Callithrix jacchus: one gene and its partners. The protein of the gene in region 1 purifies or fractionates together with the protein of each later gene. This does not show direct contact. Links are inferred from orthologs where the notes say so. Each region holds a gene or a part of one and is shown in the gene's direction. Other genes may lie near its edges.

Region 1 (6,068 bases):
TGTTGAGTAGGCTGAGGGGTTGGTCTTGCTGTCTCAGGAGTGCAGAGGTGGAAGAACATCTGTGTATAAGTGGACCCATGCAGTTCAAACCTTCAAGGTTCAACTGTATATAGATGCATTTGCTTCCACAAGCATAATCTCTGAAATGATATACACTGGTTTCTTATGGGAAGGAGAGCTGGATTCCAATGAGGTTAGGAATGGGAGGGAGATTTTTACTAAATATCCTTTTGTGTTTATCAAACTTGGTAGCCTGTCATTGTATTTTATGCTTTTCAAATAAATAAAACTTATATAAAGAGGTATTAATAGCTTATCTTCTCTCTTAATTTTACTATGTCCAGGTCCTTCAAGGATTAGATTATCTGCACAGTAAGTGCAAAATCATTCATACTGACATAAAGCCAGAAAACATCTTGATGTGTGTGGATGATGCATATGTGAGAAGAATGGCAGCTGAGGCCACTGAGTGGCAGAAAGCAGGTGCTCCTCCTCCTTCAGGGTCTGCAGGTGAGGGACTGAGCCAGCTTCATTTCAGTCTGTCTGAGGTATTGTAAGCTTGCAATGTTGTATGTTGAAGGTTTCTCAATCAAATGTTACATGTAAGGACATTTTTGGCAAAGTTTAATTTCTGGAAATAACTACACCCTTTTCTTGAGATGGAAAATGCCCCAGGTACATTATATTTTAATATTTGAATTACTTGCCATTTAAATTTGTAGTTGCTGCTTCATTAATATTGGAACAGTTTTTTCTGTTGCCCACTTCTCTGCAGAGGAGAACATAATAACAGCTTTCCTGGAGCTGACTTTTAGTCATCAGAATATTTTTCTAGCTTCAGTTATGTTACAGTAATTCCTATTGTCCATTTGTCATAGCTACGTCAATCTGAGTTTTATCAGTGGATTTGGAGTTAGTTAGAAAAGGCCTGATGGTGGGGGAAGAAGACCAAGTGACCTGAGTATTGGCATATCTTTATTTCTGGTGGGGGTGCAGTGAAATGTGGACTGTGCTTTTGTGGATCTTCAACATTGTCTGTGCCCTTGTGTTGTCAGGCAAGCATAGATAGTAAAGGGCTGAGACTCTGGAGACTGCCTGGGGCTCTCTTCACATCTCCTCTACTGCAGGTGTTGTTTAGATCATGGACCCAGACTGTCAAACTTATGGCCCTGATAGGGTTTAATCATGTGATTTCTAGAATATTAGCTGCATACCAACTGCAGTATTTGATTTAAATTGTAGAAAGCTTGCAAAATAGATTTCAAATATAAATGTACATCTAATCTAAATTGTTTATTTCATTTTATTTATAACAAATTTGGTTTAATGACTGTGATATGTATGAATTATTTTCCATTTTCTTAAGCTATCTGTTGGTGCTTTGGGATTGACTGTTTTTGAGATGTATTAGTATTTCATTTTAGATAAATAAAAGAAATGGCTCAGTATGAACAACTTTTCTGCTATGCATTTTAAGAGTCCGTTGTTTGTTTCAGTTGCATAAACTTTCTCTAGATCCCAGTGATTACGAAGCTCTGATTAATATGTTTGTGAAGTTGGATAGTCATTAAAAGATAATAATTATGTCATTTTGCAATCCAAATGACCTGCATGAAGGTATGTGTCTGTTTTCTGCTAAATACCAATTTTGTTTCATTTTATTTTAGTGAGTACGGCTCCACAGCAGAAACCTGTAAGTACTTAACGCATATTACTTTTATGCACCATGGCAAAAGAAACTGTTTGAGCAGTTCAAATTATTAAAAAGTGGTAGTATATATTAATTTAAAGGGTAGACACATTTATAAATGCTGTGTATCCTCAAATATTTAAGACTTACTGTCTTGTTAAGTGTTTTTTGGATTTTGTGTGTGTATGTGACTGAGTCTTGCATTACTGCTCAGGCTGGCATGCAGTGTTGCGATCTTGGCTCACTGCAGCCTCCCCCTCCCAGGTTCAAACGATTCTCCTGCCTCAGCCTTCCGAGTAGCTGGGATTACAGGCACCCACCACCATGCTCAGCTAATTTTTGTACTTTTAGTAGAGATGGAGTTTCACCATGTTGGTCAGGCTGGTCTCGAATTCCTGACCTCAAGTGATCTTCCCATCTTGGCTTCTCAAAGTTCTGAGATTACATGCATGAGCCATCACACCTGGCCTGTCTCGTTAAGTTTTAGGGATCTCTGCAGAATTGGAATGGTTAGAGCCTTTCAATGATTGTCTTCTTTATGCATTTTCTGGACTACGGTTGGCCAAGTCTAATGAAATGTGAGGTGGTGGAGTTGAAGCACTTTTATTTCAAAACCACTTTATATTATTTCTGATTGGCTGCTAAGTTACCTTTTCCGAAGCTGTTGTTCTAATTTTTTTCCAGCCAGATGTTAAATAAGAAAGAGATAGTTTGTAGTCCTGTCAAAACACTATGTCAGTACTAGGTACCAGGTGTGGTGGCTGACACCTGTAATTCCAACATTTTGGGAGGCTGAGGCCAGCAGATCTCTTGAGGTCAGGACTTCGAGACCACCCTGGCTAACATGGTGAAACCCTGTCTCTACCAAAAAATGCAAAAACTAGCCGAGTGTGCTGGCGGATGCCTGTAATCTCAGCTACTCAGGAGGGTGAGGCAGGAGAATCTGTTGAGCCCAGGAGGGGGAGGTTGCAATGAGCTGAGATTAGGCCATTGGACTCCATCCTGGGTGACTGAGTGAGACTCTGTCTCAAAAAAAAAAATCAGCCGGGCATGATGGCATGTACCTGTACTCCCAGCTACATGGGAGGCTGAGGCATGAGAAACACTTGAACCCAGGAAATGGAGGTAGCAGTGAGCCAAAGTCACGCCAGTGCACTCCAGCCTATGCAACCGAACAAGACCCCATCTCAAAGAAAAAGAAAACAACAACAAAAAACAAAATAACAAGAAAACACTATGTTTACTGAGACAACCCTTGATTTGGAACGTAAGTTCTGGAACAAGAGGGAGCTGTAATAATTAGGCTTCCTGGCTTGCTGAGGAGCCCAAGTTGTTTCCCATAGTTCTTCCCTGGCTCAAGCCACCTGAGTTTACTGTATGAAGGATTGGAGGCTCTCCTTGCCAGTGCTTTGCAAGTCAGCTGGCCATGATGGGAGGCAAACAAAAGCTGTGGCTTTTTCTTCTTTCACATTGCTGCTTAGGCTTATCTCTTACAGTTCATGTTGTCTTGGCTGGTAAGAGCTTCCAAGACATATGTGAGACCCAAACACAGTGACATACACCTGCTTGGGCACCTGTTTCATTTTTGGTAGTGAGGAGATGGGATGTTGTTATTTTGTATATAGAGGGCAGCAAATAAAACTTCCAAGAGGAGCTTCTCTAAGGCCAAGAGAATTTTGGACTTCAGTTCTCTGAGAGTTTGAATGGTGAAGGCTTACTGGATTTAAGCTGTATCCCTCTGAGGGCAGGACCTGGTAGTAGACCTAGCATGTGATATCAGTCAGCACTGCTTTCCCTTTGATTTTACCATAAGCCTTACCATGAGGTGGATGTCTGGGTTTGGGATTTTAGTAGAATATGGCATGAGAAAGCGGAGTTTTTTGTTAGTTGCCATGCTGCCAGCAGTTATACTATCATGTGTGCTTTAAAAAGAAGAAAACTGACCTGTGGTCTTTTCTTAACATGTTATAGATAGGAAAAATATCTAAAAACAAAAAGAAAAAACTGAAAAAGAAACAGAAGAGGCAGGCTGAGTTATTGGAAAAACGCCTGCAGGAGATAGAAGAATTGGAGCGAGAAGCTGAAAGGAAAATAATAGAAGAAAACATCACTTCAGCTGCACCTTCCAATGAGCAGGATAGTGAATATGGCCCAGAGGTGAAACTAAAAACAACAGGATTAGAGGAGGCAGCCGAGGCAGAGACCACAAAGGACAACGGTTAGTGGGGCCAAGAGCCTGGGCTGCATGGGGTCCTCAGGTTACAATGGGGGCTGATTTGTGCTGCTGCTTCAGATGGCAAGGATGATTCTCTCCAAGTCTCTATTGGGAAATTCGGGAAACATCCTTATAATTCATTTGTGAACTGTATGCCAGAAATACAACATTTCAAAATAGTTTTTAAAAATGTAGAATGTCTGAGAAACACCATGTTTCTATCATGCTAAAGATGGTGCTTTATTTTGTCATTAACTTTTTACCTAACTGTAGTACACCACAAATCTATTTCTGAAGATTGTAGAGGGTGGAAATGGAAGTGCAGCTTTATTTAGAAAGAGTTTTTTTCTCCCAAAGCTAACTTTTTCTTATAAGAGCAGGCCAATTATTAATGAACCAAAAATGAGATTTTGAAAACTTGAAGGTTTTACTCCAAAAGCTGAGAGGTGTTTACTATGAGGTGCATAAGTTAAGCACATTCAAAATGTATTTTATTGATGAGATGTGAGGTTGTATTAAGGAGAGTAACAAGTTCTAATTCTTGACCCATCAACTTCTTAAGGTGAAGCCGAGGACCAGGAAGAGAAAGAAGACACTGAGAAAGAAAACATTGAAAAAGATGATGATGATGTAGATCAGGAACTTGCAAACATAGACCCTACGTGGATAGAATCACCTAAAACCAATGGCCATATTGAGAATGGCCCGTTCTTATTGGAGCAGCAACTGGACGATGAAGAGGATGATGAAGAAGATTGCCCAAATCCTGAGGAATATAATCTTGATGAGCCAAATGCAGAAAGTGATTACACATATAGCAGCTCCTATGAACAATTCAATGGTGAATTGCCAAATGGACGGCATAAAATTCCCGAGTCACAGTTTCCAGAGTTTTCCACCTCATTGTTCTCTGGATCCTTAGAACCTGTGGCCTGCGGTTCTGTGCTTTCTGAGGGATCACCACTTACTGAGCAAGAGGAAAGCAGTCCTTCCCATGACAGAAGCAGGACGGTTTCAGCCTCCAGTACTGGGGATTTGCCAAAAGGTAAGTGTTCTTCTCATCAGCTGTCTGCCATCACTGACTCCCGGGGTGTGCCTTTAACAAATGCTATGAAGGAATTGGCTGAAAGTGACCAACCCCTATATGCTTGCACTAATCATTTTTATTACTTTTATACTCAGGAACAAGTAATGTGATTTAAATGTACATTCTGTGCCACTAGGCTATCTCTCGCTCTCTGATACCAAATCTTATTTCTGACCAGTTGTCATTTTTAATATATTCAGTCAGCAGCATCATTTGCAGAAACCTTCCAGTTTTAGCAACTTACACCTGTAGCTTTCTAGAATGTGTAGTATAATTTGTATCTTGCATCTGTTATGATTGTATTTCGTTTTTGTTTTGTTTTTCTATTCAAGAAAAGTATGCCTGCTCTTTGGCTCTGTTGGGAAAGAAGTGTCATATTGTCTTTTCATAGTTGTTCCTGATTATAGGACCCTGTTATTGATAACCCACCCAGGATTGTGAATTTCAAGGAATTGGCATGGATTTAAATGTGATGACAGATGATAGATTGGCTCTTGTGTTCTTGTCTACCTAAGAAGCCTTGACTTATTTAGACCCTTATTTTGGGAGTGAATGCCAAGTGACTCTGGTGTGTGAAAACTGGGTAACTCAGTTGGTTTCCATTCTGGCTCAAGGTGGGAAAGCTCTGAAACCTCCTGGGCTCCCTCTACTGTCAAGACTGTTTAACACACAGTGAGTAATTGATGAGCCACCCCTGCCAACAGTCCAAGACATTCTGCAGCCCCTTGGTTCCAGCAGGCTGGAATTGCACGATAAGGAGTGAGCTGGCTTTGTTAAGAACTGGCTATGATGAATCCTCCTAAGGATGTGTTTTCTTCACTTGGCTGGACGTGGTCAGCTCCTATTCCCCTTTATAGGGAGTGTTTGAAGGTGCTTACATAGAGTGTAGGTTAATTTCTGAGAAAGGGCAGTAGTGAGATGTACCTTATCCAGATTTATTGTTGCTGTTGCAGTTAAATTTTTCTCTTAGTGAAAGTTTTTATTTTTTTGAGATAGAGTCTTGGTCTGTCGCCCAGGCTGGAGTGCAGTGGTGGGATCTCGGCTCACTGCAACCTCTGTCTCCACGGTTCAAGCGA
Region 2 (6,068 bases), on another chromosome or scaffold:
GATCATACTAATATTAATTGTCTTTTTTGGGTATGACTTTAGGCTGTTTTAGTTTTGTTGCTAGGCATTGTGTTAGATATTATGTATAGAAATATGAAATTGCTGATCCTCTCCCTCAAAGAATTGATCATTAAAGGGCCTACTTTTTATCTTGAGAGCTATTCATCACAATAATAGTGAGAATCTAAAACATTACAATACAATTATCATTTGATAATTTTTACACTAATGATTACATCTTTAAGTTAGGACCTTTACAGAGCTTAGGAATACACCTTAAAAAAATGAAATAAAACTAAGATTAAATGCAAGCATTTACCTCTCATATGGCTGATAACCTCCTACCTACTCCCTCACTAAAAAGGTTGGTTAATGATGGTTAGTTTGATGGGATTCCATTTTTTTTTTTTTAACTGTTACAGATTTCCAGTATGTAATTTCAATATGAGTGACTGGCCATGGACTGCACTGACAATAGTTTTTGATTAATTTAATCATATGGCAAACATTCTCCTTTCTTTCTTTTTCTTCCCCCTTCCCTCTTACCTCTTCCTTCCTTCTTTCTTCCCCCTTCCCCCTTTCTGCTTCCTCCCCTTCTTCCTCCTTCTTCCCCCTTCTTCCCTCTTCTTCCCTCTTCTTTCACCTTCTTCCCTCTTCTTTCACCTTCTTTCCTCTTCTTCTCCCTTCCTTCCCCTTTCTCCTTTCCTTTCCTTGTCCCTTTCCTTTCTCCTTTCCTTTCCTTTCCTGAAACAGAGTCTGGCTCTGTTGCCTAGGTTGGAGTGCAGTGGCTCCATCTTGCTTCATTGCAACCTCTGCCTCCTGGATTCAAGTGATTCTCCTGCCTCTGCCTCCCAAGTAGCCGAGATTACAAGTGTGTGTCACCACACCCAGCTAATTTTTGTACTTTTAGTAGAGATGGGGTTCCACCATGTTGGCCAGGCAGGTCTTGAACTCCTGACCTCAGGTGATCCACCCATCTTGGCCTCTGAAAGTGCTGGAATTACAGGCGTGAGCCACTGCACCCAGCCTACCATTTTGCTGTTCTTTCTCTCTTAGTTTATTAATTCTTCTTTACTGCCATTAATAACACTATAAGAATGTGTGTGTGTGTGTGTATATGTGTGTGTGTGTATATATATATATAGATTGTGTGTGTGTGTGTGTGTGTATGTGTGTGTGTGTGTGTATATATATATATATATATATATTTTTTTTTTTTTTTTTTTTTTTTTTGGTGAGACAGAGTCTCCTTCTGTTGCCCAGGCTGGAGTGCAGTGGTGCAATCTAGGCTCACTGCAATCTCCACCTCCTGGGTTCAAGCAATTGACCTGGCTCAGCTGCCTGAGTAGCTGGGATTACAAGTGTGTGCCACTTGTAATACAAATTTTTGTATTTTTAGTAGAGACAGGATTTCACCATATTGGTCAGGCTGGTCTTGAACTCCTGACCTCAGGTAAATATGCTCACCTCAGCCTCTGGAAGTGTTGGGATTACTGGCACAAGTCACTATGCCTGGCCTCATGTATGTTATTGTTTCCCATATTTCTATTTTTATTCTCCTTTTACAAGGAAAAATACTGAGGCTTAGAGAGGTTTAAAGAACTTGCCCAAGGTCACACAGCTTTTAATTGGCAGAACTAGAATTCAAAGTAGAAGTAATGTTTTGTATAAAATAGGATTTCTTTGTTTTCTTGGGCAAGTCACTTAGCTTTAGCTATATCTCTTTCCTTTAATATGACACACTTAATTAAATTAAAAAATAAAGCATTAGGCAATGTTAGCTGGTAACAATAAAACTATTTAAGGAGAACATAATGGCATGTCAAATTCTAGAATGCTTTATGCCATCACAGTTGCTATCTTCTTCATTAGCCTTCTGAAAACACAAGTCTTGCAAGAGCAAGGATCTTGTTGGTTTTATTCACCAATGTATACCTAAGGTCTGCTATAGTTGCTGAGCTGTAAAATAGCTAAATGTTAAGTAAATGAATCCTTACATCATAATTTCCCTGACATAAAGATGAAATCAGATGTACCAACTCCCAACCATATCCCTACCCCAGCATTCAGCCTAGGTTATTCTTTGCTTAGTGGAGTTGCCAAAGTTAGGGGAAATACTTAGTATATAATAGGCATAGTTTTGTATTAATTTCCTTTTTGTTCAGTATACCTCTTCCTACCCAAAGGTTATTTATTGTATGGGCAGTTTCTTAGAGTATTTCTGCCAATTTATAGTATTGGCTTTGGATTTTCTTCCCAACTTTAAACCTATGGAAAATCAAAAGAAACACAGCAGACATCTGAATGCCTTCACGTAGATTTACCGGTAATACTTTGTTACCGTTGGGCATGAATGCTTTCTTGTGGGCTCTCTCTTCTCTTTATTCTCTACACTCACATTTTTTTGTTGAATCTCTTGAAAGTAAGTGGTAGATATAGAGAAACTTTAACCCCTTTACCTTATATGTAAGAATAAGACAGTCCTATATAAGCACAGTATTATTGCCATAAAATCATAATTCCATAATATGTTATCCTTATGATGTAGTCAAATTCTTGTTGAATCCTACCAGGAGGCAAATAATGTCCATTAATGGTGCTAAGTTTGATTGCTTGTATAAAGTGATAATTGTTAGAGCTCTCCATTGTAAATATAATTTTTGGAGTGATATTTTGTCACTGTATAAGTATTTTATTTTCCAATAGCCTTTCACCAATATATTTTTTATCTATTGCTCATCCATGCCTGAGTCAATGATTACATCAAGGTTAACTTTGAGTTTTGAAACATGGATTTCTATTTTTTATAGAAAAACACATTTGTGACTTTTTCTTGCTGTTAGGCATTTCTAAAAGAGAAATGATAGTAGTTGAAATATTCATAGTACTATTTAGCTTTTATACTAAATATTATTTAATCATTGAGATTGCTGAACAACTTAGTAATTTGAATTTTTGTTTCCAACAGCTGCTAACATTGTGATCCAGACTGAACCACCAGTTCCTGTTTCGATTAATAGCAACATAACCAGAGTAGTTCTAGAACCAGATAGCCGAAAAAGAGCCGTGAGTGGTTTGGAAGGCCCACTCACAAAGAAACCTTGGCTGGGAAAGTAAGATAATTTGCTAATTAGTAACATCTAATTGTTATTATTGTTGTTTGCATTACTAAATTCATAAACTTTGTCATTAATGATTTTCAAACTAAGTGTCTCAAAGTTAGGGTTCCAGGAGACATGTTTAGAATGTCGTGAAAATTAAAAAGTTAACAATATTCATAATAGTTTTTTTTTTTTTGAGACAGTCTTGCTCTTGTCGCCCAAGCTGGAGTGCAATGGCTCGATCTTGGCTCACCACAACCTCCGCCTCCAGGGTTCAAGCAATTTTCCTGCCCCAGCCTCCTGAGTAGCTGGGATCACAGGTGCCCACCACCGTATCTGGCTAATTTTTTGTAATTTTAGTAGAGACAGTTTCACCATGTTGGTCAGGCTGGTCTGGAACTCCTGACCTCAGGTGATCCACCAGCCTCAGCCTCCCAAAGTGCTAAGATTATAGGAGTGAGCTACCGCACCTGGCCCATAATAGGTATTTCTAATTTGTAACTACCTATTTCTATGCCTAACCAAATATTAAAAATTACTAAGGCACTGGCAGTGGATAGAAAAGAAGAAAAAAAAATGAAATAAATGGTAAAAAAAAAAAAAAGTTTAATACGTTTGCAGAAGTTGAAAAATATGCCATTAAAGATGATATTCTAGCCAGGCATGATGGCTCACGTCTGTAATCCCAGCACTTTGGGAGGCTGAGATGGGCAGATCACCTGAGGTCAGGAGTTTGAGACCAGCCTGACCAACATGGAGAAATTCCATCTCTACTAAAAATACAAAATTAGCCAGGCATGGTGGTGAATGCCTGTAATCCCAGCTACTTGGGAGGCTGAGGCAGAATAATTGCTTGAACCTGGGAGACAGAGGTTGTAGTGAGCTGAGATCGTGCCACTGCACTTCAGCCTGGGCAACAAGAGCAAAACTCCATCTCAAAAAAAAAAAAAAGAAAAAAAAGATGATATTCTAGCCTTACTTAGACTCCTTGATAATTGTGGTATTCTTTTTGGCATATGATTTTAAGCTTCAGTTGGACCTTTTCTTTTGATGATCTTTTGCGTTCACCTTTATCTTCAACTTTTTTTATTCTTGGGATAAGAACGATGTGAAAATTGCTTAGTAATTTCTGAAGAATGTTAAGGGCTAACAAGAGGCACTTTAAAAAATTAATTAATTAATTATATAGAGACAGGGTCTTACTATGTTGCCCAGACTGATCTGGAACCCCTGGGCTCAAGCATTTCTCCAGCCTTAGCCTCTCAGAGTGCTGGCATTATAGGCATGAGCCACTGCACCCAGTCTCTAACCTGTTTCTTGATGTTAATATATTTTCTGTGGTTTGAATTTTGAATATAATGTTTCATAGGATTTTGAAAAAATTTTCTGGGATTACAGGTGTGAGCCACCATGCCCAGCAACAAAAGGCACTTAAAAAATTATACATATAAAACTTAAATTCTTGGTGGTTATATCTCTTGGCTAGGCATGAAGTAAGAGAATTAACCAAGATATATTAATCTTCCTTTTAGGCAAGGAAATAACAATCAAAATAAACCGGGGTTCTTACGAAAGAATCAGTATACAAACACCAAATTAGAAGTCAAGAAAATCCCTCAGGAATTGAACAACATTACCAAGCTCAATGAACACTTCAGCAAATTTGGAACTATTGTTAATATCCAGGTAAACGTGGCTATGTCAGTGACAGAATCCAGGCATTTTATGAGTCTTGGAAATATTTCTGTCAGCTCACCTTGCTTAAATGAGTCAGTGGTTATTCTGATCATTTGTATACCCACTTTTATGATGGACTTGTTAATTCTTGTGAATTAACAAGTTTGTTCTTGTGAATTCATTTGGTTCTTTAGTGCAGTCTCTTCTTGAATGAGAATGGGTAGTTACTGTATTTTTATTCATAGTTCTATCTCAGAAAAAATGACTTTTTTAATATCTGAGTTAATATAACTAGGTAGCTGATATTTTTGGTAATGTTCAAGATTATAATTTTGTCAACTGACCTTTTATATTGTGGTAAAATAGTAGTTGGTTGAGGATGGTTCTAATGTTTAGAATTTTAGGCAGTGTAATGTGTAATCCAAGATCAAATAAATCATAGCTTTGTATTTCACTGTCTACTTGTTAGTTATTTTAATTTGTGAATTTATGGTTGGGTGTTATGTTGTCATTGAGAGTACTGGAAGGCTAGATTAAGTTTGAATTTTAGTCTGTTATCCCTGATACTTAAGTGTTGTCATCAAACCAAAATAAGCTGAGTTAAAGAAGATGGTGTTGTGGAAGTTGGTATTTCAAAGAATTGAACCAAAGTGGTCTTTTTTTGTTGTTGTTGTTGTTTTTTGAGATAGAGTCTCACTCAGGCTAAAGTGCAGTGGTGGGATCTCAGTTCACCCAGGTTCAAGTGATTCTTCTGCCTCAACCTCCTGAATAGCTGGGACTACAGGCATGCGCTACCACACCCAGCTAATTTTTTTGTATTTTTAATAGTGGTGGGGTTTCACCATGTTGGCCAGGCTGGTGTCAATCTCCTGACCTCAGGTGATCCACCCAGCTCATCCTCCCAAAGTGCTGGGATTACAGACATGAGCCATCACACCTGGCCTTTTTTTATATTTTGAGACAGGGTCTCGCTCTGTTGCCCAGGCTGTAGTGCAGTCATGCAGTTTTGGCTCACTGCAGCTTCTGACTCCTGGGCTCAAGCAGTCCTCCCACTGTAGCCTCCTGAGTAGCTGGGACCCCAGGCACACACCACCATGCCTGGCTATGCCTGGCTATGCCTGGCTAATTTTGCATGCATGCGTGCGTGCGTGTGTGCATGTGTATTGTGCTGGTTTTAAACTCCTGGACTCAAGTGATTCATCCACTTTAGCCTCCCAAAGTGCTGGGATTATAGGCATGATCTACTATGCCTGGCCTTATCTTTTGATTTAAAGCTATACTGTTTTTATT
Region 3 (6,068 bases), on another chromosome or scaffold:
TACAAAGAATACTTTCAAAAAAGTTTTCTTTTAAGTATTATTAATAATACAGTTATTGGGTAATTAAAAAAATATTCTACATCCAAAAAAGTAAAAGAGGTGTTATGTGCAGTATTGGTCTCTTCTCCCCACCGATTTCTGTTTATATTCTTTTTATCACTTAATTTTAAATCATAGTGCATGGATCATTAGTTTCATTGTAGAACTATACACATATATTTTATTTCAGTTACCACTGTTGGGAATAGGACCTGATAATATCTGAAGTGTCTAAAATTTACATTTGGCCTTTCAATGTTAGGTGTTAACTTGACACAGGAAGGAAGATATTGGCTATAATCACAAGTGCAAAAGGAACATATCAACAGTCATAATTTATATTACATATTTGCATCAAAACATTTTAATCATCCTAATGCTGATTGGTTGGATTTCCCAGTGCTTATTACTAATGCATCAGGAAGTCTTAACAATTGGCATCAACAGGATTATTTATAATGGTTGAATTCTCATCATAGTTTGATTTTTGTTTGTGTTTTTGTTTGTGTTCTTTTTGTTTGTTTTTAAATACTTTTAGCCCTGGCTTGAAAAACAATCCAGTTGATGAAAGTGAGGTCCAAACAGCAACTGATAGTCCCTCTGTTAAACCTAATGAGCTCGAAGAAGAAAGTATACCCAACATGCAAACAGAAATTTTCGTACAACAGGAGAAGCCTTGTGAGGAAGAACCTGAAAAAGTAACATGTGATTCTGACTTTGCTATGGAAACATTGGAGGTTGAAACTCAAGGGGAGGAGGTCAAAGAAGAAGTTCCTCTTGTAGCATCCACTCCAGCCAGTATTGAACTATTCACTGAAAATGCCGAGGAGTGTGCTTTAAATCAGCAGGTGTATAACAGTGACTTGGAGAAGAAAGACGCAGGAATTATTAACCCTGAAACAGCATTGTTACCATCTGACAGTGTGTTTATAGAAGAAAGGAACATCAAAGGAGTTACAGAAGAATCTCCATCTGAAGCAGAAGATTTCTTTTCTGGAGTTACACAGTCTGTGGTAGAATCTATAGCCGAAGTAGAAAAACCTGAAACTGTTTCAGAAATATTGCCATCAGCTTGTATTGTGACATTAGTACCAGGAGTTTCCACTGGGGATGAGAAGACAGTGGGCAAAAAGAGTATTTCTGAAAAAAAAAGTAACATGGATGAAAAGGAGGAGAATGAATTTAATATAACTAAGGAAATCAGAATGGATCTTCAAATAGGAACAGAGAAGGCTGAAAAGAATGAAGGTAGGATGGTTGCAGAAAAGGTGGAAAAGATGATGGCGTCAGTGAAAGAAAAGCCTGCAGAAAATACTTTATTCAAGACATACCCAAATAAAGGAGTGGGTCAGGCTACTAATCCTGATGAAACTAGTAAGACTAGTATTCTGGCAGTATCCAGTGTATCTAGCAATAAATCAAGCATCAAGGCTGTTGTAGTCTCTTCTCCTAAGGCAAAAGCTACAGCTTCGAAACCTGAAAATCAGAAAAGTTTTTTAAAATCTGCGCTTAGAGATCAAATAAATGCTGAAAAGAAACTTTCGGCCAAGGAATTTGCTCTACTTAAACCTACAAGTGCCAGGTCAGGCTTGGCAGAAAGCAGTAAATTGAAACCCACTCAGAGCAGTTTTACCAGAGGAGGCAGTGGAAAGATCTCAGCCCTGCAAGGCAAGCTTTCTAAACTGGATTACAGGGATATAACAAAACAATCTCAGGAAACAGAAGCTAGACCTTCCATCGTGAAGCGGGATGACAGCAACAATAAGGTGAGGAGGGTAGGAAGAATGGCTCAGTGTGTCTTTGAAGTGATTAGCTCTGCTGGTGTAGCTATGGAGTAGGAGATGTAATTTTGTTTAATACTTTCATCTCCTCACTCCACCCCAGAAGCTTCCATTTTCTTTTCTTAAATGATTCCATTGTTTAAGCCAGTATGCATTTAGAATGTTAAGCTTGAGTTCATAATTTATTGACAGGTTTGAAAAGCATTATTTGGAAAAAGTTTGGTCAGAAATAACTGATTAAAAAAAAAAATTTGCAGTGAATCTCCTAAGGTGATTTACTACTTTGCTTCTGAATGGAAAACTGTTTCCTCTCTTAAATTGAACCTTCTTCTATCAGGTCACTGACTGCCCAACTAGACATTGTGGGAAGAAAAGATCAGTAAAACTGAATTTAACTACAACTTGTAGAGACTGTGCCTGTACTGTTAATGACTGTTGACTTAGCTTTGTATATATGTTAAATATTTGCATAACTGACTATATTTTGGTAATTATTTCTGGGTTTTTTAAAATACCATTTAATAATCTGGTTGTAAATTCTGTTTTTCTGTATTTCTTATTTACTATTTCAGACTTTGGCTGGACAAAACACTAAGAATTCTAAAAGTGCTGCTGGTAGAAGTTCCAAATCTAAAGAGGTAAAAAGTAGATCATGGACCCTAACGCTTTTTTTTCATCGCTCCATAACACAGTGCATCTATCTTACAACGTGTGTCTGCCTTATAATAGTTAATACAAATGTTAGAGAGGTAGAGGTATAAAGCAAGGGATAGGAATGAGATGTTTTATTTTTAATTTACCTCTAATCCTACCATTAATTTACTTTCTGACCTTGAGTTAGCCTAAGCACCTTGTGTTCTTGGTGAAGGAGCAAAATGTTATATGGGGACAGTAAAAGAGTAGAATAGGAAAATACCTCCAATCTCCTACTGACAGGAATAGGTTGTAGACACAGAAAAAAAAAATCATAAATGTGAAGGAGAATGACTGACATTTGACTTGATTCATCCTAATTTTGTTAAAACAGGTTATTCTTTTGGCTCTAATTTAACCTTAAGTGAATGGTGGATGGTCTGTAAGATTTACTTTACTGGTACCACATTCTGTTGCCAAACAAACATATTTTATGTTTGGTTGTTGAGTATTTCAGATTTTTACCATTCATAGAATATTGTTTCAGTCATTTTACTTTTATTATCTGGTAGGGGATGAATTTGTGCCTCTGTATTTGGGGCAAGGAGAAACGTTATTAGTTTAAAGCAGAAATAAGAATTACGGCTACTTCATTTTGCTTTGTTAAGTTGGTACTACAACTGTTTGCAGATAATTCTACCTATTACAAGATTCCTTCGTATTCTAATGTCATTGTTATATATAATAGCAGTTGATCACTGATAACATACTAAAATGTACAGGAGCCCTGGCAGGAATTTATCTTCTTTACTATTGGAAGTATTTTAAAAATTACAGATACTTTGTTTTCAAATACAATTATATTAGATATTGAGTCTTAACAACTTTTCCATACAACTTTCTCAAAATGTAACCATTGTATTTATTAAAATATGTATTCTATAGTTAATTAATGTGTAACCAATATACAGTGATAAATGAAACAGTCTAATTAGCTGTTTACTTTCTAACTATATTGGAGGTTCTTTTAGAGGTCCAGTAAGTCTCCTAGAACACTTGTTAGATGTTTGACATATGGAATAGTAAATCCTTTATATTGTTTGACAAATGCTTTAAATGTAATATTTTTATGTGTCATACTTCAAAACTCATCATTTAGAAAATGTGTGAATTTAAGAAGTGGAAAGGTCGATATTGTTAGGGCTTTACCTTTGGCTTACACTTTGTGAATTATAGCTAAGTCATTTATGGGGCTTTAAAAAAAAACAACTCTTAATTTTAGCCTTTAGAAAACTTAATTAGCACCGAAATTCTCCCAGATGATCTGCATGCACAGTTATTGTGACTATTTGGAATCTAGGCAGTGTTCAAAGTTTGTTTACAATACTATGATTTTTAACTTTCCAACAGGAACCATTATTTCCATTTAATTTGGATGAATTTGTTACTGTGGATGAGGTTATAGAAGAAGTGAATCCTTCTCAAGCCAAGCAGAATCCACTAAAGGGAAAAAAGAAAGAAGCTCTCAGAAATGTTCCGTTCTCTGAACTTAACCTAAAGAAGAAAAAGGGGAAAACTTCAGCCCCTCGTGGTGTTGAGGGAGAACTATCTTTTGTAACATTGGATGAGATTGGGGAAGAAGAAGATGCAGCTGCACATCTAGCACAAGCTCTAGTCACTGTGGATGAAGTAATTGATGAAGAAGAACTAAATATGGAAGAAATGGTAAAAAATTCAAATTCACTTTTTACATTAGATGAATTAATTGACCAAGATGATTGCATTTCCCACAGTGAACCTAAAGATGTTACTGTTCTGTCAGTGGCTGAAGAACAAGATCTTCTCAAACAGGAGCGCTTGGTAACTGTGGATGAAATTGGAGAAGTGGAAGAGCTACCTTTGAATGAGTCAGCAGACATAACTTTTGCCACTTTAAATACAAAAGGAAATGAAGGAGACACTGTAAGGGAATCTATTGGCTTCATTTCTTCTCAGATGCCTGAAGACCCTTCTACTTTAGTTACTGTAGATGAAATACAAGATGACAGCAGTGATTTGCATTTAGTGACTTTGGATGAAGTAACTGAAGAGGATGAAGACTCTCTGGCTGATTTTAACAACCTAAAAGAAGAACTTAATTTTGTTACTGTTGATGAAGTTGGAGAGGAGGAGGATGGAGATAATGATTTAAAAGTTGAGTTAACACAAAGCAAAAATGACAGTCCCACAGATAAAAAAGGGAATAGAAAGAAGAGAGCTGTGGACACAAAAAAGACAAAACTTGAAGCCTTGTCCCAAGTGGCTCCAGTAAATGAGAATGTTACAGAAGAAGATTTAAAAACCATGATTGAAAGACGCTTAGCAGGTAGATACTTGGAAGTAGTAATCTTTCTGTTTTATGAGGGGATTTCATTTAAAATTAATTTTAAAATACATGTTGTGGCATTACCAATAATTTCACCCAGTATTGGTTTCAGAAGCCAACAGACAGCTACAGTCAACAATAAATTATCCAAAGAACTGTATACAAGTTTCACAGTTTTTTAGTTATACAGCAGAACTTAATCCAAGTTATACTTCAAGAAAGAATGACAAAAAAAAACCAGAAAACAAACTAAAGTAGCCAAATTAGAATTGGAATGAAAATGAAACATTTATATTGTGGGGAAAAGACAACTTTTGATAAATAGAAGAATATTTACATCAGATTGCCTCCCAGTTTTTATTTAGACTTAGGATTTAGAACAATTTATAAAGGAACTGTTTTGTTTTAAAGTAATATTGTAATGATACAGAATAGTAGGGCAGCTCACTTTCTGAACCTGAGGGAGATAAAAATAATTTCCAGTAAGAATGTCTTGAGGCCCAATGTTGTGGCTCTACTTATTGTCTCAGCACTGCACTTAGGGAGGCCAAGGTAGGAGAATCGCTTGAGGCCAGGAGTTCGGCACCAGTCTGGGCAACCTAGCAAGACTCTTCTCTCTACAAAAAAAAATTAAAAAATGAGCCAGGGACAGTGACATGGATCTGTGGTCCCAGATGCTTAGGAGACTAATGCGAGATATCACTTGAGCCCAGAAGGTAGAGGTTGTGGTAAGTCATGGTCGTGCCACTGCACTCCAGCCTTGGTAACAGTGAATGAGACACTTTGTCTCCAAAAAGAAGAAAAGAAAAAAAAACCTTTCAAAAAATTTAACTAAGAACAAAATACTAGGAAGGTCCCACAGGCTTATGGAATAAATTAGAAAAACATTCATAGAACACTCTGGGAAAAGAAGATAGAAAAGCATAGTTTTTGGAAAATGGTAACTGGGAACAAAAGGAAATGTTTAGATTAAACTGAATATTTTTTTTTCTTTATTGCATTTTAGGTTTTGGGGTACATGTGAAGAACATGCAAGATTGTTGCATAGGTACACACGTGGCAATGTGATTTGCTGCCTTCCTCCCCTTCACCTATATCTGGCGTTTCTCCCCATGCTATCTCTCCCCAGCTCTCCACCCCCCGCTGTCCCTCCCCTATTTCCCCCAATAGACCCCAATGTGTAGTGCTCCCCTCCCTGTGTCCATGTGTTCTCATCTTTCATCACCCACCTGTGAGTGAGAACATGTGGT

Evidence for each region. Proteins that work in one complex are often made in the same cells at the same time.
Region 2: the proteins of SRPK2 (region 1) and RBM27 purify together in Homo sapiens (affinity purification with mass spectrometry; 3 studies listed by BioGRID and IntAct, with this or other methods). This does not show direct contact. The link is inferred for Callithrix jacchus from reciprocal best matches to the Homo sapiens genes SRPK2 and RBM27.
Region 3: the proteins of SRPK2 (region 1) and ZNF638 purify together in Homo sapiens (affinity purification with mass spectrometry; 3 studies listed by BioGRID and IntAct, with this or other methods). This does not show direct contact. The link is inferred for Callithrix jacchus from reciprocal best matches to the Homo sapiens genes SRPK2 and ZNF638.

Annotation. Positions count from the first base shown.
Region 1 is NC_133512.1:75,523,976-75,530,043, reverse strand, and holds part of SRPK2 (SRSF protein kinase 2), read left to right. Parts: intron 1-344; coding exon 345-510; intron 511-1,667; coding exon 1,668-1,693; intron 1,694-3,661; coding exon 3,662-3,908; intron 3,909-4,467; coding exon 4,468-4,950; intron 4,951-6,068. UniProt on the Homo sapiens protein: Serine/arginine-rich protein-specific kinase which specifically phosphorylates its substrates at serine residues located in regions rich in arginine/serine dipeptides, known as RS domains and is involved in the phosphorylation of SR splicing factors and the regulation of splicing.
Region 2 is NC_133503.1:44,765,836-44,771,903, forward strand, and holds part of RBM27 (RNA-binding protein 27), read left to right. Parts: intron 1-2,968; coding exon 2,969-3,113; intron 3,114-4,633; coding exon 4,634-4,787; intron 4,788-6,068. UniProt on the Homo sapiens protein: May be involved in the turnover of nuclear polyadenylated (pA+) RNA.
Region 3 is NC_133515.1:42,489,722-42,495,789, reverse strand, and holds part of ZNF638 (zinc finger protein 638), read left to right. Parts: intron 1-577; coding exon 578-1,805; intron 1,806-2,392; coding exon 2,393-2,458; intron 2,459-3,863; coding exon 3,864-4,818; intron 4,819-5,824; coding exon 5,825-5,866; intron 5,867-6,068.